Tamandua tetradactyla: one gene and its partner. The protein of the gene in region 2 binds, or shares a complex with, the protein of the main gene of each other region. Links are inferred from orthologs where the notes say so. Each region holds a gene or a part of one and is shown on either strand. Other genes may lie near its edges.

Evidence for each region. The genes of interacting proteins can lie anywhere in the genome.
Region 1: the proteins of stromelysin-1-like (region 2) and TIMP1 are in contact, whole or in part, in a crystal structure (PDB 1UEA), measured with the Homo sapiens proteins. The link is inferred for Tamandua tetradactyla from reciprocal best matches to the Homo sapiens genes MMP3 and TIMP1. Residues at the interface, in NP_002413.1 of Homo sapiens: Phe100, Thr102, Phe103, Phe171, Tyr172, Gly178, Asn179, Val180, Leu181, Ala182, His183, Ala184, Tyr185, Ala186, Thr207, Thr208, Gly209, Thr210, Val215, His218, Glu219, His222, Phe227, His228, Tyr237, Pro238, Leu239, Tyr240, His241, Ser242; in NP_003245.1 of Homo sapiens: Cys24, Thr25, Cys26, Val27, Pro28, Pro29, Val52, Thr56, Leu57, Tyr58, Pro87, Ala88, Met89, Glu90, Ser91, Val92, Cys93, Thr121, Cys122, Leu156, Ser157, Pro159, Gln173, Leu174, Gly177, Glu179.

The regions. Positions count from the first base shown.
Region 1 is NC_135353.1:122,544,351-122,551,695, forward strand, and holds the start of TIMP1 (metalloproteinase inhibitor 1), read right to left. Parts: upstream 3,011-7,345; 5' UTR 2,858-3,010; intron 2,056-2,857; 5' UTR 2,048-2,055; coding exon 1,927-2,047; intron 1,140-1,926; coding exon 1,060-1,139; intron 878-1,059; coding exon 751-877; intron 521-750; coding exon 396-520; intron 1-395. Other genes in the region: SYN1 (synapsin-1), read left to right, coding at 7,092-7,154. UniProt on the Homo sapiens protein: Metalloproteinase inhibitor that functions by forming one to one complexes with target metalloproteinases, such as collagenases, and irreversibly inactivates them by binding to their catalytic zinc cofactor.
Region 2 is NC_135334.1:39,309,365-39,316,408, reverse strand, and holds the start of stromelysin-1-like, read right to left. Parts: upstream 3,004-7,044; 5' UTR 2,957-3,003; coding exon 2,852-2,956; intron 2,087-2,851; coding exon 1,842-2,086; intron 1,761-1,841; coding exon 1,612-1,760; intron 1,506-1,611; coding exon 1,380-1,505; intron 1-1,379. UniProt on the Homo sapiens protein: Metalloproteinase with a rather broad substrate specificity that can degrade fibronectin, laminin, gelatins of type I, III, IV, and V; collagens III, IV, X, and IX, and cartilage proteoglycans.

The DNA.
Region 1 (7,345 bases), on a different chromosome or scaffold from region 2:
GTCAGGAAAGTCAAGGTTGTAGAGCAGAGCAACAATCAGATGTGCTAGAATACAATCAGTGGATTTGAGGAATAGCACTTGGGGTTCTTGGAGAACATTCCAGGGAATCCAGAAGGTTGGGACAGACAGAGGGACTGGAGAAAAGTCGCAAGAAAGAGTGGGAAGAACAGGGAACAGCCAATCCCAAGGTATCAGACACAGGGCAAGGGAACAATCAGAATTTCCAAGGAAATAGCCTCAAGTTTGGGGGAATAGCGAGAGATCAGGGAAGGTCCTAGGATTTGGGGAGCAGCCTTAGGGATAAGAAGTCGCCAGAGGAGTAAGAAACAATCCCAGGGTTTGGGGACGAGCCCAAGGAACTATCTCCAGGATGACAGCAGGGCCCAAGCACTCACTGTGCACTCCTCACAGCCAGCAGAGTAGGCCTTGGTGAAGCCCCGGCGCTGAGCAAAGCTCAGACTGCTCCAGGGAACCACGAAGCTGCAGGTAGTGATGTACAAGCCTCCCTCCTGCAGGCGTCCTGGAACGGGCAGAGGGAGAGAGTCAACAGGAAGCTTCTGATTGGCTGGCCCAGGGCAAGGGCGGCGCCTGATTGGCGTCCCTCGTGCACGAAAGCCCCTGCCTTCTGATAGGCTGAAATTAGGGCGGTCCCCGTTTCAACTGGGATCTTTGAAAACCTCGCTCCCCCTCCCCGCGGTTGCTAGGCAACGTCCGAGCTATGGGTTGGCGTGGCACAGGGAGGGACCTCACCAGCGATGAGAAACTCCTGGCTTCGGTTCTGGGACCGGTGGAAGTATCCGCAGACGCTCTCCATGGCTGGAGTGTAGATGAACCGGATATCAGGAGCATCCCCCAAGGCATCGAACCCTTTGAACATCTGTTGATGGATGAAGGGAAAAATCTCTGTTTTACTGATATAATCTCCCGCTCCATGTTCTGCTGAAGTCCTACAACATCCTGAGATCACAGCCAACTTCCTCCTCGACCTGTAGCCTCAGGCTTCTATTTTGATGGGGAGGTAGATGTTAGGAATTGCTGGGGAACGGGTAGGAGGAATACCTTGGTCATCTTGATTTCATAACGCTGGTGTAGGGAGGTCTGGTTGATTTCTGCGGGCCCTACGAACTTGGCCCGGATGACTGCAGGAGAAAAGGGAAAGGAGTCAAATGGACGGCACGCAGACAATAAAAATTAAATAATCACAATAATAAAACTAGCAGAGCACATTCTTAAATAGGGATTACTGACTGGCCAACAGCACACTAGCGCTTTATGCCTTTGTTAATGGATCCATCCGGTTAATGGATCCATCCGAATATTGACAGCCTACTCTTTGCCAGGCACTGCTCTAAGCCTTGTTCATATATCCCTTTGTCATTTTCCCCACAAATATTTTGGAGCACCCACTCTGTGCCAAGCACTGTTCTGGGTGGTAGGGACACAACAGTGAACAAAACACAAAAATCCCTTCCCTTGTGGAGTTCACATGCTAGCCAAGGGGGGAGACAGACTAGAAACAAGCAAAATAAATAAGTATATGGGATGTTGGAAGGTATTAAGTGTGGTAGAGAATTCCAGAGGTGGGGGAGGGGGGCTGTTCAGGAGTACTAGGGAGCAGGGGCTAAATTTTTAAATAGGGCAGTCAGGGAAGGCTGCCCTGAGAAGGTGACATTTGAGGCAGTCACCCATATGGATACCCGGAGGGAAGGGTGTACCAGGCAGAGGGAGCAGCCAGTATAAGGGCCCTGAGGTGGGACTGAGCCTGGTGTACTCACGTAAGTGGGAGGAGACCAGTGTGGCTAGAGCAGAGTAAGTGGAAGGATGGGTGGAATCTTGTTCTTCAGCTGGGTGTGCCACTGTCAACCTAATCAGACTAAGAGGGAACAGAAACATGGAGTGTATGGGCAGCATGGGGTGCACACTCACCAAGGTCCGAGGTGCAGAAGGCTGTCTGCGGGTGGAGTGCGGCACAGGTGCAGGCTCTGCTGGGGACTATCAGCCACAGCAACAACAGGATACCAGAGGCCAGGGATGTGCAGGGGGCCATGATGTGTTCTGTGGGAGGGGAGGGGAGGGGAAGGGAGGGGAGGGGAGGTCAGTAGGCTCCCAGCCTAACTGATCTGCTGGCCTGGGCAGGCTTCCTACCCCAATCTACCCCAGTACGTCCTGGAGGAGGATTTGGAGGATTTTAAGGGGCTTGGGGATGTGGAGGACTCAAAGAAGTTTAGCGGGTTGGGAGAGTTTAGGGGGCTGTGAAGTTCTGGTGAATTGGGGGATTAGAGGGCTGCAGAGTTTAAGGGGACTAGGGGAATTTGAGGATTTAGGGGAATTGGGAGAATTTGGAGGTAAGGAATTTGGGGTTTGGGGGCTGGAGGAGTTTGGGGGAGGTTGGGAATTATTTAGAGGCTGTAGACTTTGAGAGGTATAGGTGGCTAGGGAAGTTTAAGGTTTAGGAAGGTTAAAGAATTTGGAGGTTGGGGATTTAGGGAATTGACGGAGTTTGGGGGGTGAAGGGGGTAGAGTGCTTGGGGGATTTGGGGGTAGAGGAAGTTTTCAGATTTAGGGGGTTGAAGTTTGACAAGTTTGGGAAATGGGAACTGGAGGAATTTAGGGGAGTTGGTAGGTTGGGAGGAGTTTGTGGTATTAAGGGGTCACAGGTATGGATATAAGGGGTAGAGAGAGTTTTGGGAGGGGGTGTGGGTAGAGGATCAGTTCCTTCCACCCTTTTCTCCCTTGACCAGCCCAGGATCCTGATGCCCACAGCCAGACCGTGGTCACAGAAATGGACAGACCTGGTTGCCGTTTAAGCTCCCGCCCAGCCCCAGGCTCTGCAGTGCCACCCAGGCCCCTTGCCTACCTCTGGTGTCTCTCTAGGCGATGGGTCTGCGGAGATGGCGGCAGGGTCTGAGCGGTACAGGATAAATGCCCGTGCGAGGGGCGGGGGTGGCAACGGCGCGGAAACCACAGGCGTCCAGGCTTCCTGGATGCATTACTCATCCGCCCACCATCACTGCAGAGGCCAAGGGGCGGGCCGCTGGGCTGCGGAAAAGGGGCTGCACCCTCCTCCTCTCCCTCCCCCCGGGGCCTCAGGCCCTAGCCTTCCCCCTCCCCCATTTCCACGTGGAGCACCAGTCCTTTCGAGCAGGCTCAATGGAGCGCTTAGAGGCAGGATTCCTCCAAGTCCTCTCAAATTTCCAGACCCCTTCCACATTCCTCAGCCACAGGGATGGCTGAAATCCTAATTAGTTTATTCCTTCAACAAGCATTTATTATTGTGCACCTACTGTGTGCCAAGCACATGCACAGAAAACCCTTTCCTGACATTCTGGTGAAGAGCAGGGGAGGCGGAGAGAAACCAATCAAGTCAAAGCAGTGAAGGAGATAAGGGACTTGGAGGAATACAAGGTGGAGAAACTGAAGCACAGAGTGGTTAAGTGACTTATCCAAGATCACAGAATTCATTAGGGGGAGAATTGGGATTTCACTGAGCTGGGTCTTAACCCACCCTCAAAAAACATAGGCAAATAGCCAGCATTTATATGGCAACTACTGTTTGCCAGGCAGTCAGCCTAGTTTATCTCGTTTAAAATTCAGATAGTATTTGTAGTATTCCCATTTTACAGATGAGAAACTATGAGGCATAGAAAGGACTGAAGAACCTTCTCAGAGTCACAAGTTATGGCTGGGATTTGAACTAGCTCACTAGCACCAGGCTCTTAACCCAGGCGGGGCACAGTCCTGGCAAGGAGGGAATGGAGGGAGAGAGTAGAATGTGGTGAAAGAGGCCAGTGAGTCAGTAGAAAACTGATCCCCACCCCATCCTGCCCTGCCCCTTCCCCACCAACCCTCCCACAGCCCTGGTGGGGCATGAGGTGAGGCAATCACTGCCCACCAGCCTCCAGATAATGCCTGAATCTTCCCTGGGGTTCTGGGGGCCTGAGAGCTGGTTAACATCCCTGGTTAATTCAGGGACAGTAGACCAATAATAACGAAGATGATAGTGCTAATAGCCGCCACTTATTGAGCACTTACTGTATACTGTGCCCTAAAGTCTTTGTGTAAATTATTTTATTTAATCTCCATTCCCCCTTTGCTAATTAAACTAGATTAACTCAGGGCACCTAGACCAATAGTAAGGAGGATGACATCAACTAGCCTTCACAGTTCGAGATTACTAGGTATCAAGCATCCTTTCAAAGTCTTTGTATGTTCATTATCTCATTCAGTCAATCCCAATTAGATTACCTTGTTAAAGAATGCTGGTTATGAAGGGATATTAAACTAATAATAATAACAATGTCCAACATTGGTTGACGATTGAGACTTTCTTTATGCCAGCCAGATACTGGGCTAAATTCCCCTCCCCTACACTGGAAATAACGAATTTATTCTTCAGCAACATTCCAGTGAGTTAGATGAAGAAACTGAGACACAAAGGGGCTGAGTGACCTTCCTAGAAATGAATGAAGAAATTACTTTCTTGAAGGGCAGGAGAGGCGGCAGTAAACCAAGACCTTGGAGAAGCTAGCTGTGAAAGTGGATGAGTGCCTGGGGGTAGTAAAAGTGAATGAGATGGGGTTGAGTAAGTCAGTAGCGTGACTGAGGGAGAAGTGAGGGAAGGGAAATTTCTGCTGCAGCCCCTCGCTGACCCTAGTTCTGTTTCTGTGAAACGTACGTCAGCACAGTTTGCTACTTAGATGTGAGGGGCTGTGTTGGTCTGGGTTATCACACACATTGTGAAATCAGTGAAGTTTTGTAGCAGGGTGTCTGGGTGTTGGATAATCTGAGGAGCCGGATGGGGGTGGGGGCCCTTGATGTCCAGCTGGTGGCTGCACAGCTAACACTCAACAATCCCCACAACATAACAAGAGCTTGGGTTTGACTATGTCCTTTGTACAGATCAGGAAACTGAGGCACAGAGAGGGGTTAAGTGACTTTCTTGGGATCCTACATGGCCTTAGGAAGAAGAGAGGCCAAGATTTGAGAACTCTCCAGGAGGACCCCAGATCTAAAGGTCCATTCATGCACACACATGTGAAGGCACATATACACAGTCTTGTGTTCAGGTTCAGAGGAAACAAGGGCTGTTTTTGAAAAGAAGGATCTAGAAACCTTGGGGTGTGTGCATGTGTGTGAGTAGCCGTCTGGTATGTTTCAGCCTCTAACACTGTGTGCTTCTCAGACTTCTGTGTATGTGCCTCTGAGAGTTGTGTGTGTGCCTCTGAGAGTTGAGTGTGCCTCTGAGAGTGTGTGTGTGTGCCTCTGAGAATTGTGCATGTGCTTCTAAGAATTATGTGTGCCTCAGAGTTGTATGTGTGCTTAAGAAAGTTGTGTGTGTGCTTCTGAGACTTATGTGTCTGTTTCTGAGAGTCACATGCCTACCTGAGTGTTTTGTATATCCCTGTGTGTTCTGTTGCTTCTGGGAGTTGTGTTTCTGCCTTTGTATCTGTGTTGTCTATGTAATTGTGAAAGTTTGATTCCCTCTCTGTGTGCTGGGTGTATGCCTCAGGGTTACATCATGTGCATGCCTCTGCATTGTTTCCCTGGCAAGCTACCTAGAGGACCCGGAATACCCCATCCCAACACTGAGCCTCTCAGCACTACCCCCCCCCCCCCATAATGACGTCAGTCATTTGGGAAATGAGGAACGTGGAGTGGGGGGGAGGTGAGGCAGAGGGAGGGTGAGGTCTGAAGGTCAGTCGGTCACTCTGAGCCTGCGGGCTTCCTGTGCTTGTCGGGAACTGGGAACTGCCTCCGCCCCAGCATCCCCTCCGGGAATGGCATCTCTCTACCCTGTCAGACACTGGTCTCCACAGCAGGAGGGGCGTGAAGAGAGACCCTGCATAGCATACATGCTATGGCAGGGCTGGGATCATCCAACCCCATCCCTTCTATCCCGCCCAGGGCCTGGGGAGACTTGAGGTGTCCCCCACACCCGAGTATGTGTATGTGAATGCGCGCGCGTGCACATGCGCTTTAGGAATGTTGTGTGCACACACCCAAGAGTGCTAGCTTTGTACTTAGGAGTACTGGGGATGTCCCTGACCATTTGTATGCCTCTCTGTGTTGTGTATATGGCAAGGCATGCTGTGTGCGTCCAAATATACTTTTAGTGTCCAGGAGTGTGGTGTGGATTGCAGCGGCTATGTGAACACCTAGAATTATGTGTGTGTACCTCTGTTGTGCAGGTCCTTCTGTTTGTTTTGCAGGTACCTGAGGGTGTGATATGTGTGCCTGTGAGTGAAGATGTGTCCAATTTTGTATCTGTGCCTGTCAGAGCTGTATGTGCCTTTGTATCCTTTGGCTGTGCCCCTGAGGATTGTTTCTGTGTTGCCTGGGTTATCGTGTGAGTCCCTCTGATTGTTATGTGGTTAGGCGAGAGGAGGGGGGCAGTGTTGTGTCTGTACCCCAAAGTGTTGATTGTGAGTCCAGGAGTGTTGCGTGTGTGTTGCTGGGTAAGGAGGCAGGCCAAAAAGGCTGGTCACTTTCCCGTGCTGAGCATGTGGCTGGATGAATGACTGTTGTGGGTGTCCTGAGAGGTTAGGTGTGCTTTGGAGCCTGTGTTGGTTGTGGGTCTCTCAATCTCGTGTCTCAATGTGCGTGGGCATCTCTGATTTTGGTTGTGTAGTTCTGAATGTGTGTAGCTCTAGGCTGTGTGGGTGGGGAACAAGGCTTGCATGCAAGGCCTAGCTGTGGGGTCCAGTTGCCACATGCTCACCACCACACCCCTATACACACATGCACACACACTCACCTCCCCATCATTCACCCACTGTGAAAACAAACTTTCCCTTTCCGGAAAGTCCCCCACTTTTATCCCATGCTTCTTCCTGGGAAAGCATGGGCAGGAAGTCTGGAGACTTGGGGGTGGTGGGAGGAGGGGTAGGCAGGCAGGGCTCTGGGTTCAATTCCCAACTCGAAGGGCACTGTGTGACCCCTAGCTGCTGTCTGCCTGTCTCTGACCTGCCTCTTCTGGGAAATGGCCCATTACATTGTTCCCACTGGATGGGTTCCCCTGCGCACCACTCTTGCCCCTGGCACAGGGCCCTCCTACCCTGATTGGACCTCCTCTGTCTTTTCACCCTACTCAGCTCAGCAGTACAACGTACCCTGTGGTTGTGAAGATGGGACATGCACACTCTGGGATGGGTAAGGTGAGTCCCTGAGGGTCAGGAGGTTGTTTGCATGTGTATGTGTATTTGAACACAGTGCATGCATCTGGCATCATATGTTTATATATAGATGTGATTTGTGTATTCAGCATATATCAGTAATTCTGTATGATTGTGTTCCCACGGGGGGAGGCCGGGCTTTATCTATTTGTATATTTGTTTTCTACATTCAG
Region 2 (7,044 bases):
CTCAGGACTTATATTTGAAATCGGTCTTTGAGATAAAGTTTCCAGCTACATCCTATTCTGCCCTCACTTCCACCCAACCATCCTACTCCCACTTTCCCACTGCAAGTCTCAGAAGCCTACTGGTTCTCAAGAACCAGATCCCTTTTCTTATATTCAGGAGTAGAAGGAACTCAATTATTCAGCATATCAATAATATTTCTTTTCATATGTCAATTAAAATATAAAGCCAAACACTGTCTCAGGGTAGGAATACTGAATCACGGTTTGTACATTTCAATCTGAAATCCTTAAACAAGGATTCTTATCTTACTTTCCATTAGGATCTTGCCCTGCCTGATTTTTCAGACTCATCATCATTATTAAATACATGTTGAGTCCAAAAAGATTAACAATGATTGATGCATAGGATAAAAAAAACTGGTTTAAAACATAACATGCCCAGTCATGTCTCACATTTCTCACACATTAAAAAAAAGAACTATTTTGGCCACACAAACAGTGGCTGTACTCAGATTTTAAAACAATGAGAAGAACCAAAAAACAATATAATAGTGAAATTAGAAAGAATTGTGTAATTATGATTGACACAGCAAGTAAATCTACTTTGTAAGTGTTATGCGTGTTACCCATGACCCTAGGAAAGTTCTCAATTGAGACTTTGAGGGAAGAAGTTTTGATTCAATCAAACCAATAATTTTATCCAGCACTAACTTCACATTTGTATTCTCCATGGAGACTCTGTTTGCATTTCCATTATAAATCCCAACCAAATCTTAGAAAGAGCATTATTTGTTTGAATGCTTTGGAAATCCTTCCTCAAAGTCTACATTATGAACTGAGAAACAATCTTTTACCTGAACAGTTTGACAACATATTTGGGGGTTAATCTTCATTAAAAATCCATGAAAACACTGCTTAACTTTGAAGAGTAAAATGTGATTTAACCAGAATAACCTAAAAGGGAACCTCAGTTTCTGATTTCTGTTTTGAAGAGGAAAGAAGTAAAGGGGAAAATACACAAAAAATATCACGGGTACATCTTAGGGTCAGTGTAGATTTAATGTAATACACTATCCGTTGGATAAATTAAATTCAACATAATGAGAAATTGCCCTTAATAACAATGGCGCTAAGATCCCCCGGGTCCATGATCATCAAAGAAAGACGCAATTTTTCTTCTTATATAGTGCTTACCAAGTCAGGAAATAAACTCCTTAGAGATCTGAAAGTATTTTCAGTAACAATTAAAATTAAAATTCTGATGCTCCCTTACCCATTGGAAAATCCAGAGCAATCATTTCTTGAGCATTCATGGTTATGGTTTTCCAAATATAAAAACAAATTAATGTCAAAATCATCCTGAGGGGTGCTTAACTCACCTACTTTATCCTCTGTCCACTGTTCATCATCATCAAAGTGAGCATCTCCGTAAAATCCCGGGCCGGGTGGGTAGGCATGGGCCAAAACTTTTCCAGGACCATCGAAAGGGAAAAAATCTCCATGTTCTAGACAGGGAAAAAAATTATTGGACAGGTAGATAATTAGGATTTTATTTTTAACCTTTTCCAATAAAACAACACCAAACAAATAGATACATTTTATGTTTTTTACCTTTAACTGCAAAAGAGATCATTATGTCAGCCTCTCCTTCATTCACCCTGGAGAATGTGAGAGGAGTGACCTCCTCCCAGACTTTCAGAGCCTTCTCTATGGCCGAATCAATAGCCTCCCTTGGAAGATCCAATGTATATTTCACAATCCTGTAAGAGGAAAACATTTTCTCCAGTGATAGTAACTTACAAAGTTTTGATATTATGTGAAAATCTCTTTGGTCCCGTTACCTGTAAGTGAGGTGAGTTTTCCTCCACTTTGGGACTCCGGGAAAGGTATCGAATTGACCAACGTCAGGAACTCCACACCTGGGCTTGGCCATCACCTCCAGCGTGTTGGAGTCCAGCCTCCCCGTCACCTCCAATCCAAGGAACTTCTGCATTTCTTCAATTTTTTTCACAACAGGACCACTGTCCTTTCTTCTAACAAACTGCCTCACATCTTTTGTAAGATTGTAGTACTTTTCAAGGTATTGCTAATGGAATAAGTATAATTTTAGGTTATTCTTTTTTTGCTTGTCTTCATGATAATTTGGACAATTGCTCATATTCTTCATTTATTTGAAACATTCCTCTAGCTTGTTGAAACATCAATAAATATAATATTTCCATTGATTTCTTCAAGTAAAGCCTCCCCTTCATGCCCTCAATTAAAGCCTGCTTCCCCTCTGTGTTGCAGTGAACGTGAAATGGAAAAGAGGGGCAAACATCCAGCTCACTTAAAGGAAATAAGACCTATAAAGGAAACCTCTTTTGGCTTAATTGTATATTTCAGGTAAATTTACTCACTTTCCTCAATTTTCTCCTTTATACTGCTCACAAGTATCTGGCTTAAGAAAAAAGTAAGACAAGTCCTTTTGCCTAAATATATGCTAGCCATATAAGTATTTAGCTAAAATTACATTTGAGTATCAAAATACCTAAAGAAGGTCCAAGGCAAGAGATGTTTCATAACCTCTCCATTTATTCATGTGTCTCAAGTCAGATGCTGCTGCTATAGAGCACTGTGTGATCCAGACACCACACCTAACATTTCTGGCCTTCATTTCTTCCTACCTAAAAGAAGGAGCCTGGACAATGTGATTCTGAGATCTTTCCTCATCCAACATTGTATTATCCTATATCCCTGAACTATTCTACACCATAAGCTAGACGCATCCTGTGTAGGTTTTAAAGATGGGCAAGAGATAATTTCATCAGATGGCCCTTCCGGTGGGTGTGACAGCTGCCTCCACAATTACCTGAACAAGATCCATGCTGGTGTCTTCATCCTTGGTTGCTCCACCTAGAGGATAGGCTGAGCACACTGCTACCCACAGCAGCAGCAGGACTGGAAGCGTCTTCATTTCCACTGGTCTTCCTCAGCTCTACGTTGTCTTAACACCTCGTTCTCTGCCTGCCTCCTTCTAAGTCCACCCTCTGAAGACCAACTTTTATAGAGTGACAGTGTTTGCTTAGATCACCCACAACTTGACTCATGATTTTTTCATCCAACTGACAGCAGGACCATTTCCAAAAATTCTGAATTCAAGTAGAATGATATAACCTACTTTACTAATTTCTCTCAACCTTTCCAATTTTGCCAGGCAAAACAGTGATTAATCTCCAGGAAATGCTTCCTGTTCTGGTAAAGGAGAAAACTGGGATTTTTTTTTCACTCTAGGGGAAAAAAAAAATCACTGGAATTTACTAGACAATTTATGTTTGTGTGTATGAGAGGAGAAACAGGATGACTTGGTAAAAAGAATTGTGCAGAACTTGGAAATGCAGTTTATTTAAGAGCACTTTAAAAATTAAATACAATGTAATATTACATAGGAAGATGAAAAGCGATTGTCTATGCTGTATACTATTACACTCTGTCTTTGCTTTGAAAACCTGCTATTGATATTTTGCTTGGATTTGCTAGTTTTGGAGGAGGAAATATTCAAAGGTAGGATAGGGTAAAGAGGGTTTATGATGAAGAAAGAGATGTGTCCATTCTTTTGTCTTTAATTCTGTACCAAGTTTATTAATGAGTAATAAACCCATAATAGCTACTACATCAATTCCCTCATAGAATTGAAATGAAATAAGTGCTCAGTGAAGCAAAATGCTCTTCTGTCTTTATCTTCTATTTTTCTTATCTCTTTCAATCTCATTTCCTCCTCCCTAAATTCAAATTAGTAGGTGTTGAAATTAGAAGAGAAAAGCCATCCTAAATTCTTTCCCCATGCTCACTCGACATTTTCCTTGCTTTCTCTTCCCTTTTCTTCCCTTCTGTTCAAGTAGAGTATGATTCATTTCATTGGCTTGTGATAAATGCTCACAGGAAAGACCCTAACCATTCACAGATGAAAAAATTGTGTTAAACATTTTACAATTCTTATTACAACTACCACCTCCAAACCTCCTTCCCTGATCACTACACTTTGTTTTTTGCCTTTTTTGCTTTTTTGTTTTCGGAAGGGCAAAACGTCCTGAGACCTGAAGATCAGACATGTGTTGAGGCTTGGCTGTGCACTAAGCTGGCCAAGTCATCTTGTCACTTGTTGGGTAAAAAGTCTGCACTGTAGCATGGAGCATGGCCCACATGTCAGCTTTTAAAATAACTTCAAAGACTTTTTCTGAGAAGTTATTTTATTCAATGGTGTCTTATATATGCCTCTGCTGTTGTGTTTTTCATACTGAAAGTGTAGTGTGATAGCTTTATTTATGTCTTCCTATTTTACTAATGCTTCTTGAAGATATGTATTTTTCTCTTTATTTCTATACTCTTAGTACTTACCATAGTACCTGACATATAGTAGGTACCCCAAAATTGCTCACATAATATGTTAATTATGAATGCAAGGCTTAAAGCAAAAATCATAAATGTGAATGAAAAGTTTAAAAAATTTCACAAATCATGCAGATGTTTCTAAATTCCCAGATTTTGCATATCATATTTTCCAAATATCCTAACAACTGAATTCTTACAATGTTTTATTTCCATAGAAAAAGATTCACGCTGTCTTCGTAAGTCTCTGTAGTACAAGAATGAATTGAAGATTTATATACTCAAAATCCTCATTCATATCTCTTCAGGATATCCAAACCAAGATTATAGAACCAGGGAGTTTACTGATAATGCAAGAAGTAGATTGTATTTTGAAGTCAAAATTTAAAAGGGCAATGCATTAGAGAAAGAATAGGTAAATTAAAGAGTCATTTAGTGGAACAAGGAAAGGAAAGAGAAAGAGAGGAAGGGAAGAAGGGGAAAAAACAGGAGTGAGGAGAGAAGGAAAGGAAAAGAACAGAAGAAGGAAAGAGAGGAAGAGAGAAAGAGTAAATATACCCAATGTAGAGGAGAGCTATGAACACTAGATTTAAAAAATTGGGTTTTCACAGAAATGAAAATGTTCCATAGAACATCCCTGTGCTTTGGTGGCTGAATATATACAGAAAACAGATAATGGTTGGTTTTATAAGTTTGACTTCCCAGGAATCTAGAGGGCTCGAATTAAATTAAAATTAAAATTTATCAGATCAAAACTTAGATTCAAAAACTGGCAGTTAGTCCAGGCAACATTCAATGGGACAACTTTTCACATTCGTCTCCATGTTTATCTTGCTTCTCCATGACTAATCAGACAAGACAAAGTCTGATCATTGCTTCCTCCGGTTGATATTATCATTCTTTCAGATATGCATTCATTTATTGAGTGTCTGAGTCTTACATGCTTAAAAATATCTAAGTGAAGATTGTGGATTTGGAGATAAAATCTAAAAGAGAAATTTCAAGAAATTAACTATTTAGAAAGGAAAGATTAAAAGGAAGGAAGGGTTAGATGGGAAGCAGGAAAGAAGGGACCATGAAGGTAGGGGAAGGAAGGAGTAGAGGAGATGATCCCTGCATAACTTATTTTATAAGGCATAAAGTGAGAATTTGTATAGGAATTAAGCAGAAAAAAAGGTGTTTTCTTTCCAAAAACCCATGATAAATTGGCAGAATTGAGCCTGGAATGATTTGGATGGGAAGGACAATCCAGGAACAGAATAAACAACAATGTAGAGTCAATTGAGTTGAGAGTCTACTTGGGAAATAGCAGAGTTACTTTTTTTTTTTTTAATTATCTGACTTTATTTAGCATATTTTATCCAGGTAATATTTAATATGTACAGTTATCAAAAAATATTGGGTGCTTTCCAAGGAAAGTGTTTCTTTCTGGAGCTGTACACTAAAGTGTATGAGTACCAATTAAACAGTTGTCTTTTTAATTTTCAAATTCAAAAGTGTGGTAACATCAAGCTCTTGAAAAATAGAGCCTCCTTCTCTGTAATTCATGATATAGATAGTTTGAGTTTATAGAAGTTGCAGTTGCCAATTCCGTTCCTGCAAGCTCTCACACCTGACGTTGTAGAACTGACAATTCAGATAGAATTCATCTTATCCAGTCAACTTTCCTTCCAGGAAAGGAATCCACTGGTTGTCAGAGATTACAAAACTAATAAGAAGCAGAGCCTGGACTAAGAATTCATTCTTAGAAAGACTTGGGTGAGCTAAATAAGGGACACAAATCCCATAGAACTTTAGTCATATCTAAAACAACCCTTTTCTCTCTTTCTGTTTAACATTGGATTGAATCCCAACAGTTCTTCCATAGTTCCAAACATATTTAGTGATTTGGGTGCTCTGGAAACAAAATCATTCCAAAGATTGCAGTTTATCACCAATCACTGATGGTCAGTGCTATTCATGCTTCTTTTCTCCAGAGATGTTTCGACTTTGGCAACTTTTCTTCCCATTCCTCTCTACTCATAATAGACCTATGTTAAGGGAGTCTGCTCTTTGAAATTCCACATCAGCAGAGCGAGCTGACGTGACATCAATACCTACAAACCTCCAACATTTGAATTTGGGGTAGCTCATTCCAGTCAGATTTATCATGTATCCTGCTCTGTTCATTTGAACAGTCACTGGTTCCAAGACTAGCTTTTGCAAAGGAGTTGTAAATTACTTCAGGGGTGCTAGTATCCCAAGCAGCAGTGAGATTTCTCAACACTTCAAGAATATGCTTTGTAATGCTTCACAAAATGTACCATGGGGATTTAGTATATCTACACATATCTACACATGTTACAAAGGCAGTCAGAATTCTACACATGTGTTTTAATTTAAACCCCAGTAAGTGGGTGTAGCACATTTATCAATCAGTAAAAGAATGTTCAAATTCTAGCAAGTCATTGTTTTTCTTTAATTGCAGAAGTCATTTCCCAAACAACCTGCCAGGCATCAGTTTATTTTTTCAACTTTACATATACAAAGGAAAGTTGCTATGTAAAGGAAATTTTTGAATTTCCATATAAGTGATTCTAATTTTGTGCTACTTCTCCTTGCAGAAAAGAAAGACAAATAGCATATTATTATATATTTTACTCCAGGGCAACATTTCTCTGTAAGATCGAATGTCTG